Oryzias latipes: one gene and its partner. The protein of the gene in region 1 binds, or shares a complex with, the protein of each later gene. Links are inferred from orthologs where the notes say so. Each region holds a gene or a part of one and is shown in the gene's direction. Other genes may lie near its edges.

Evidence for each region. The genes of interacting proteins can lie anywhere in the genome.
Region 2: the proteins of cnot9 (region 1) and cnot1 are in contact, whole or in part, in a crystal structure (PDB 4CRU), measured with the Homo sapiens proteins. The link is inferred for Oryzias latipes from reciprocal best matches to the Homo sapiens genes CNOT9 and CNOT1. Residues at the interface, in NP_005435.1 of Homo sapiens: Arg19, Glu20, Tyr23, Ile26, Asn27, Ser30, Ser31, Pro32, Arg35, Pro54, Met55, Trp57, His58, Ser59, Phe60, Gly61, Ile63, Ala64, Ala65, Leu67, Gln68, Val71, Asn72, Tyr74, Pro75, Ser76, Ile77, Asn78, Pro79, Thr81; in NP_057368.3 of Homo sapiens: Ile1415, Ala1416, Thr1418, Thr1419, Gln1422, Ile1423, Lys1426, Asp1427, Phe1428, Met1444, Asn1447, Leu1448, Gly1451, Met1452, Met1454, Ile1455, Arg1458, Glu1459, Tyr1548, Gln1549, Arg1552, Met1553, Pro1554, Gln1556, Ile1557, Leu1559, Val1564, Lys1567, Gln1568, Leu1569.

The regions. Positions count from the first base shown.
Region 1 is NC_019879.2:16,425,192-16,430,461, reverse strand, and holds the start of cnot9 (CCR4-NOT transcription complex subunit 9), read left to right. Parts: upstream 1-2,161; 5' UTR 2,162-2,521; coding exon 2,522-2,539; intron 2,540-3,011; coding exon 3,012-3,197; intron 3,198-3,341; coding exon 3,342-3,457; intron 3,458-3,884; coding exon 3,885-3,994; intron 3,995-4,121; coding exon 4,122-4,231; intron 4,232-4,423; coding exon 4,424-4,522; intron 4,523-5,270. Other genes in the region: usp37 (ubiquitin carboxyl-terminal hydrolase 37), read right to left, coding at 1-68, 870-1,043. UniProt on the Homo sapiens protein: Component of the CCR4-NOT complex which is one of the major cellular mRNA deadenylases and is linked to various cellular processes including bulk mRNA degradation, miRNA-mediated repression, translational repression during translational initiation and general transcription regulation.
Region 2 is NC_019864.2:25,875,303-25,879,554, reverse strand, and holds the end of cnot1 (CCR4-NOT transcription complex subunit 1), read left to right. Parts: intron 1-290; coding exon 291-464; intron 465-1,396; coding exon 1,397-1,546; intron 1,547-1,624; coding exon 1,625-1,805; intron 1,806-1,882; coding exon 1,883-2,015; intron 2,016-2,093; coding exon 2,094-2,228; intron 2,229-2,837; coding exon 2,838-2,916; downstream 2,917-4,252.

The DNA.
Region 1 (5,270 bases):
ACATTGTCCTTCAGAGTCAACATGATCCGATTTGGATTCTGAGAAATGCTTTTCACATTATGGTTCAGCTGAAAAAAACAATACACTCTTTAAAAAAAACACATGTAAGAGATAGACACCAAAGCACTTCAAAAACAATGTTAACTTTTCATCTGCTGATTTCCTTTTTAACAGATAGCATATTTATGTCAGTATCACCTGATTAACATAGAAAGGGTTAAAGCGATGTCGATAAAACAACTCAGAAAAGTTATATTTTACTTCTGCTTTTCTACAACACTAAAGGCTCTGTGAAAGAGAATTATGTTTTACATATGTTTATTATAAAATAACATAAAACTGAATTACATTACAGCACAAGCTGATTCCTCACACAGGGGTGAATATTTTGATTTGTTACACAACAAAATTACAAAATATTAGAAATTTTACTTTTAAGCAATTAAAGTTGAGGGCTTGGTACTTTCAACTGTGAACTTTATATTTTTACAAGTGTTCAACAAAATAAAGGCTCAGGACTTTCCTATAGTGAAACTACATTGTTTTAAAGATGTAAATGATGTGCTAAATTAGTTTTAGGTTTTGTATCAGATCTTTGCTGATGTGAAAATACACCCCTTAGTGGCAGTAAGTAAACAAGCAAGGTGTTCACCTGAATTTACGGAAATTTAACTTCCTCCAGCAACATATGATGTGCTTGAAATTTTTAATTGAGATAAAATAATAGGTGTAGTTCTATCCAAAATGGAATAAATTACACTAATTTAAAAAAATGTCTAAGTAGGGATGACAGAAACATCATGCCTAATGCTAAATATCTGTCACAACACCAACAAGCATACAGATAAAATACATTAAAGAGAAATTACCTGGAAAGTTTTGGCAGCGCCACCACAGCTGAACCTTAAACAGAGATTAACTCTGTTATCCTTTTCCAAAATTTCAAAGGTTCCCTCTTTCCACTTGGTGCCGCCCAGCTCAATGGTGTTAAAGCGAATCTTGACAGTGCTACCACTGGAGAGTTTGGGCACAAAAGTTGACATGGCTTGCTATCCTGATGGTCCACTTGTTAGGTCTGAATTTAAGATGTACAAAAGAAATAAACATGTCAAGAAATAGTCACACGGGTAGCCTATAATGGCAAAAACAACCTCACTTTTATGACTGCTATTGCTATTTAACCAAATAAACAGTTTAAATGAATATTTTTACCATTGCTAAATGCCACATAACAAGAAGTTAGTATTTTTGTAACTAGTTTGCTATATTGTTTTTTTTACAGAACATGCAGCACCGACGTGCCATTCTGAAGATTATAAGTGATTTAATTTGTAGCCAACAATAACATTTGCTAAAAACTTGAAATGTGTTATTCAAAATTATAATAATAAATAAATAAAAGATACAGAAACAAAACTAATATGAGATATGTAGATACGTAGCCAACATGGCAAATGCGGTTTGAAGTAAAGGAAAAAGGTAGGACTTCATAATCCAAAGTGACAAGTTAGCATAACAGTACAATATGAATTACTGCACCACAAAAATCACAAAATATAACAAACTGCATATCCTGAACGGTCATTGAATTTTAGTTTTAAACATGTTTGTGTAGAGCCTGCATTTAAACAACAAACACTGACAACTCCAATGTTGCAGAGGAGAAGCAACACATTTTGAGCTGCGTTGTGATGCTCGTGGCGCGGCCAGAACCATAGATTCAAACGATATAAACAAAAATATCAGTCTATCAACGAACTAGTCGAATAACATGAATCTAATATTAAATGTGAAGCATGCAGTGGCGTTTTTGTTTCTTTAACAGACGCTTAATATGATGGAAGAGGCCCACATTAGCAACACTGGTTCCTAAGCTAGCGGGAGCTAGCTAACACAGTAATTTGGTGATGAAAACAACCACATTCAGTGCCATCGTCATTTCATTACCTGTCTAGGATCACGGTGGTGGTTCCAAACCTATAGAATGTGGACTTGACTTCGCAGATCCTTCGAGAGCATAAAAAAGGTTTTGCCGGCATTCACCTGCTGTTCTGTATGTTTGCTGCAAGTAGAGCAGCACACTACGCCTCACAGCAACGGGCGATGATGGCGGGAATGGGAACATTTACAACGGAAATGATGAACGAGATTGCGCTCCGTTCTCCTCTCGCGATATCTGAGACGTTGTTTGTAGCGAAGTTGTCCCTGCCGAGGAAAAAAAATCAAACGCGAGATTGAAAAAAATGCCAGTGTAAACTTGGTTTATTGATACTATAACGACAATAATTTCTTTTTGTGCTTCTGTAGTTCTCAGTGTTGGGATTTCGATTGAAGTTATGTGAAGTTACGCATGTTGTGGATCCCATTTGTTAGAGCACCTAGCAACTAGCTAAGCTAGCAGTTCGTAAGCATATGTCCATGGTTCTTACGGTGAGATTTCAGGGTCGAGTATTGCGAAGAGGTGCAAACTGACGAACTTTCTATTAAAAGAGTATTTTGAGATCCCGAAAAGCTTTCCAAAATGTTGGCAACGGGAGCGGTGAGTATCAAACTATTGCATCGCTCTCACGGTGACGTTCCCTCCAATTTCGCCTAAGTACATCGAAAATCTTTTTTTTCCTCCCAAATTTCAGCTTTCTTTATTGAATTAATTTTAAAGCAGAACTTCTCTTTGCAGTTTTCAAAGAAAGACTGCATAATATTAATGAAAGCCTCGTACAAATGTAGTACAGTATGGTTTTGGTATACATGTATTGCAGTTGGCAAATCATGAGACGTTTTTGTAGTTAAATTGACAAATAATTTGATTTTGCCCCAATTTGTCATAGCAGACATTTAACAAATTTACACGCTGTCATTTCCTCTTCATGATTTGGGTTTGCAGAAGGGGGAAATTAAACGTAGGTTACATATATCTTAATTAGCGTAATGTTTTTGTTCTTGAGTGTTTCGTTTGTTTGCTTGTTTAAAGAATTGATTGCGAATGGATTGATATTTTCTTCCTATCAAAGGCTGTAACCAACGTCACAGCCCTGGCCCAAGTAGACCGTGAGAAGATTTACCAGTGGATCAATGAGTTGTCCAGTCCAGAGACTAGAGAGAATGCTTTGCTGGAGCTCAGCAAGAAGCGAGAATCCGTGCCAGACTTGGCCCCAATGCTCTGGCATTCATGTGGCACCATTGCTGCCCTGTTGCAGGTATTGGTCCACCTGTTCATTTGACACAGGTCATCCCATTGGGACTGTTTGTGCATCTGTGCCTCTTGTATGGTCTTTATTTTTGTAGTGGTGTTAAACAACTCCTTTTGTTAATTAAATTGTCCTCCTTTTTTTTTTTTTCAGGAAATAGTAAACATCTATCCGTCTATTAACCCACCAACCCTTACAGCCCACCAGTCAAATAGAGTGTGTAATGCCCTGGCACTTTTGCAGTGTGTTGCCTCACATCCAGAGACACGGTAACAAGATAGTTATTGTTACTGAAAAATCAGATTTTTATTTTTTATTTTTAGTAATTCTAATAATTAACTGCTCTTATAATGTTTTAAAGGGGTAACAGACCACAATCTGTTTTATTTATTTGTTTATTATTTGTTTAAAAAGTAACAGTCATCAGTCACTTTTAATACATACATCATACAGAATAGTGGATTTTTCCAGCATTTAGCCTTTGCAGATCTTCAGTTTAAAGCGGTTAAAAGATAATAAATATAGTATTTTCATTTTTATTAAGGCCATGGTCTAAATAAATTGTTTAATATTAAGGTTTTGTTATGTAATTCCTCAATTCACTATAATTTAAAAAAAAAAACGAACTTATTTCCATTTGCAAGGTTTAATGTGTTACATTGATTAATATGATTTTATTTGTTTTGTCCACACCAGGTCAGCATTTCTAGCTGCCCATATTCCTCTTTTCCTTTACCCTTTTCTGCACACTGTGAGTAAAACGCGTCCATTTGAGTACCTGCGACTTACCAGTCTAGGAGTCATAGGTAATTTCTCCTGCTGAGATCATGTTTTTGTTGATTTTACTTTTAATTTAAAAAGTCTTCTCTTTTAGGTATTGCTCTGATAATTCTGTTTATGTCAGATCTTGATTTGTTTGTGTGTTCTTGACAGGTGCATTGGTGAAAACCGATGAACAAGAAGTGATAAACTTCCTTCTTACTACGGAAATCATCCCACTCTGTCTTCGCATCATGGAATCTGGAAGTGAACTCTCCAAGACGGTAATTACCAATGAAATCAAAAGCAGTTTTTATCAAGCAGGAAGAAAAAAATGGATTTTGGAGTCAAACATTCAAAATATGTGTTAACAGATTTGGGTTTTGGTTTTCTAAAACCTACTCTCATGCATTTATCTATGGTATGAATTTAACTCATGTTTCTACCATTGACTATAATTCTTTTTTTTTTATCAGGTTGCTACTTTCATACTGCAAAAGATCCTGCTGGATGACACTGGGTTGGCTTACATATGTCAGACTTATGAACGTTTTTCCCATGTCGCCATGATTCTTGTAAGTATTTTAGGATTTTTGTGTTGTGCACCTATAGCATTGTTGTGATAAAGATGTACAGTCAAGACCATAAATATTTGGACAGAGACACGTTTTTTCTAACGTGTCTCTCAGATCAACTCAGATGCCATTGAAGTGCAGACTTTCAGCCTTGGTTGAACAAAAAGATTGTATAAAAATGTGAAAAACTAAAGCATTTTTTAAACACAATCCCTTCATTTCTTGGGCTCCTAAGTAATTGGACAAATTAAATAACTGAAAACAAAATGGTCATTACTAATATTTGGTGGAAAACCCTTTGTTGGCAATGACAGCCTGAGCTGACCTCTCTTGATGAGAGACTGGCGGTAATAATTGGGGAATCCCTTTTAAGTGGTGTGGTGACTGAGGCGCAGGGGGAACACCGACGCGCCAGATGCACCGGGTGACATACCCCCAAAAGCCCGCAGAGGTCCAACAGGACAGCTCGAGGATTTTTTTTTTTTTTTTTTTTTTTTTTTTTTTTTTTTTTTTTAGATTTCCAAAATTTTTCATCCAACCCACAAGAATGAGTTTCTTGCAACAGAAAAATATTTCCGCCAGTTCTTCTAAGAAAAAGAAATAATGCTTTTCTCTTGGTTGTATCACGTAGTCCCCTAACATTTAAAGAAATTATTTTTAAAGAGTTAAACTTAAAATCAGTCATAGCTCATAGAACACAGAACTTGAAAATAAGAACAAATAACAATTCTATACCAACTTACCTAGC
Region 2 (4,252 bases), on another chromosome or scaffold:
AAGGTTTAGCTGAAGACAGAATTCATTCAATCATCCAGAGATGTTTATAGGCGTACTGGTATCATCTGACTAGAGGGACGACATGAGACCCATGGTAGCAGATGAACTGTCCTAAAAAAATAAAAAAGGGTTGGACTCCAACAGTGAGCCCTGGGGTACACCTTTAAAGATGCAACAAGATAAAGTTAGCTTTGCTGCTGGGGGTCACAGGTATTGGGTTAAAGGTTTGCTGGCACTCTCTCAGGCATCTGTCTGATCTCTGATGTCGCGTCTTCTGTCCTGTGGTTCAGGGCACGCTGCGAGTCCTCCTTGTCCTGCTGCACGACTTCCCAGAATTCCTGTGTGATTACCATTACGGCTTCTGTGATGTCATCCCACCCAACTGCATCCAGCTCCGCAACCTCATCCTCAGTGCCTTCCCACGCAACATGAGGCTCCCTGACCCGTTCACCCCCAACCTGAAGGTAAGAGAGCCCCGACTGTGCCTGTCATTCAGAACCATCACTCCGATCTTACAGACCCATTCCGTCAACATGTCCTTGTGGCACTTTTCTCCTGATTGACGACGTGTACAAAGAAAATGAAGATTATAATTGCATTTATGAAGTTATGTTCACACCGCCCCCGGCAACACGTGTTCATTTTGAATGAAAAGTCTGGGTAAACCAGCGGTTTGGTCTTCCGTGTTCAAAACTCTCGCTTAGCTAACCAAGTTTCTACCACGGTTGTACGTATAAAATACGTGACCATTGAACGCACATTGCAAGTTAAACCAGTTGAACTTGGACCAATCAGGGACTCAGATTTGGTAGTAACGTAAGGATGGGGTCCTTTTTAATTCACAGAAGTGCCAACGGTATGAAAATTGATCATGGAAGAGAAATAGATAATTGGGGTTTGTGCCCGACCGGAATTTTATGACACAGAGTCGGAAAACCGATTCCACATTTCACACCAAGCCTGTTCCAACTGTAGGTGTCGGAGATACGGAAACATGAGTAAGAAGCCCCTCCCTGCTTGTCCAGTGTGAACACCATGGGCTAAAATGTGCATTGCAAATGTGCAGAAAGTACCATCTAGACGAGCGTCACATGGATCCGTAACTGAAGTGTTTCTTTATTTAAATTATTGTGAATCCCAATCAGACAAAAAAAGTCCCATGTGCGGGGCACAAGCTGTCTGCCCCACTCTGCTTCACAACAGCGAGGAAGTGAATTTCTAATTAACTACTGCTGCTCTACAGAAACTAAGTCCTAGAAAACAACAGTTTTTTTGATGTGGGCTAAATACTGCATAAGTATAATTAAAAAAAACACTGGGAATGCTTTGAAAATAGATCAAAAGACGATGGGATTGGCACTTCAACCTGTCTGACATGACGCCCATCCCCCCACAGGTGGACATGCTGAGTGAGATCAACATTGCTCCCCGAATCCTCACCAACTTCACGGGCGTGATGCCCTCTCAGTTTAAGAAGGATCTGGACTCGTACCTGAAGACGCGCTCTCCGGTTACCTTCCTCTCTGAGCTGCGCAGCAACCTGCAGGTAGAACCAGAACCAGAACCTTCTGCTACAAAAACTGTTTTCACAGCGGCTGAGGTTTCTGTGAACTCTGCCTGGCAGGTGTCAAACGAACCAGGAAACCGCTACAACATTCAGCTGATCAACGCCTTGGTGTTGTACGTGGGCACACAGGCCATCGCTCATATTCACAACAAGGGCAGCACCCCCTCAATGAGCACCATCACCCACTCTGCACACATGGACATCTTCCAGAACCTGGCTGTGGACCTGGACACTGAGGGTTTGTTTGGGTCTGGCTGACTTTTGGAGCATTCTCGTTGCCTCTCTCCTCACATCTCTGCTTTTGTGATTTTTCAGGGCGATACTTGTTTTTGAACGCCATCGCCAATCAGCTGCGCTACCCCAACAGCCACACCCATTATTTCAGCTGCACCATGCTGTACCTGTTCGCTGAGGCCAATACTGAGGCCATCCAGGAGCAGATCACCAGGTGGGGAGGTCCCGTCCTGTCCCGTCCTGATGTGTGAACACCGGATGTCCTGTTAATCGTAGGCTCTCTGGTTCTCAGGGTTCTGTTGGAGAGGCTGATCGTGAACAGGCCTCATCCGTGGGGGCTCCTTATCACCTTCATCGAGCTCATCAAGAACCCTGCCTTTAAGTTCTGGAGTCACGACTTTGTGCACTGTGCCCCCGAGATCGAGAAGTAAGTTCACCACCCCAGGTTCAGGTCCGGTTTGTGGGCGCTTGCGTTCACCTGTCCGTCTGCGTTCACCTGTCCGTCTGCGTTTACCTGTCCGTCTGCGCTAACCTGTCCGTCTGCGTTCACCTGTCTGTCTGCGTTCACCTGTCTGTCTGCGTTCACCTGTCCGTCTGCGTTTACCTGTCCGTCTGCGCTAACCTGTCCGTCTGCGTTCACCTGTCCGTCTGCGTTCACCTGTCCGTCTGCGATTACCTGTCCGTCTGCGCTAACCTGTCCGTCTGCGTTCACCTGTCCGTCTGCGTTCACCTGTTCGTCTGCGTTCACCTGTCCGTCTGCGTTTACCTGTCCGTCTGCGTTTACCTGTCCGTCTGCGTTTACCTGTCCGTCTGCGTTTACCTGTCCGTCTGCGTTCACCTGTCCGTCTGCGTTCACCTGTCCGTCTGCGTTCACTTGTCCGTCTGCGTTTACCTGTCCGTCTGCGTTCACCTGTCCGTCTACGTTTACCTGTCCGTCTGCGTTCACCTGTCCGTCTGCGAATACCTGTCCGTCTGCGTTCACCTGTCCGTCTGCGAATACCTGTCCGTCTGCGTTAACCTGTCCGTCTGCCCCCAGGCTGTTCCAGTCCGTCGCCCAGTGCTGCATGGGGCAGAAACAGGCCCAGCAGGTAATGGAGGGCACCAGTGCCAGCTAGCCTGCGCAGCCACCAGCTAGCCTGCGCAGCCACCAGCTCAAAGCACCCGGGAGAGAAATTCGTGGCCTTGACCCGCCCCGCCCCCCCAGCACACGGACCCCCCCCACTTCACCGTTGGCACTGGACAAAACCGGCTCCTGCAGTCGTGAAATGTGAATGGAAGGACTGCTGCTCACGGATTTAAAGAGATTTTTTTTTCTTCTTTTTTTTAAGCTTTTCCCGTTAAGCTTGAGTTGAGAGGACAGATGTGAGCTTATTTTGACCATTGATGTAAATATTGAAGAAGAAAAGGGAGAGCAGGGAAGTGGATGGATGGATTTGGCTGCACATGTCAAATGTGTCCTGGTCTGTACAGAACATTTACTACCAAAGTCCTCAGTTCCTTCCCTCCAACACAAGTCTTTTTTTTTTTCTTGTTTTGTTTTTTTGAGAGGTGAACGGTAGTTACCAAAAAAAGAAAAGAAAAAAAACAACTGTCTGATATAATTTTTTCTTTGGTTCCTGATATTTTCTAGAGTAAGACTGATATTAAGATCTCCTGTTTGTGGTGGGTGGGGGGGGCTTCTCATGGTTTTTCCAGTCGATGTGGCCTCTGGAGGTCTCTCCCTGGCAGTTGTAAAATTGTGCAAAGTGATGAAAACATCCTAACTTGACAATTTGTATAAAGATCCAAATGGAAGAACAATAATAGAAGGACCAATACAGGCCATTTTGTAACATTTTGAATGTTTTGTAAATGTATTGGTCCATGTGTTGTATTTTGTAGTTCTTTCTAGTTTGCCTTTTGTTCTTGCTACTTAATTGCAGTATGCATACATACAGGAAATAAAACATTTGAACTGCACATCACACGTGTGTTTTCTGAGCCCATCACACTTGCTCTTTTATAAATCAGCAACTTCAGTTAGTTACCTTATTTTCCTTAAACTCAACAGTTATTTTCTGTGAAACTTTTCTGAAGACGTACAATAAACTACAGCCGCACATAACTGGACAATATTTTAATTCGCAATATTGATCCCTAATATCGCAAATTGCGAGTTTTTCCTCGGATCGTTCAGCCCCACTCAGAAGCTTCTTTTTTTTTGTGCAGTGTCATCAGACGAACTCTGCATTTTCATTTAAGATTTAAGAACTCTGACCCTCTATGTGCCTTTTTTTCCATCTTACATTTGGTTCATTTCAAGCAACAAAAAAAACATGCATAGATGTATTAAATTAAGATGTTAAGTCACAAGAAAGGCACAAATATGTCCACATTCACATGTAAACAATGTTATAGTCAGTCATAGACATAATGTACTCGTACAAACTAAACATAGTTTGTCAAAAAAAA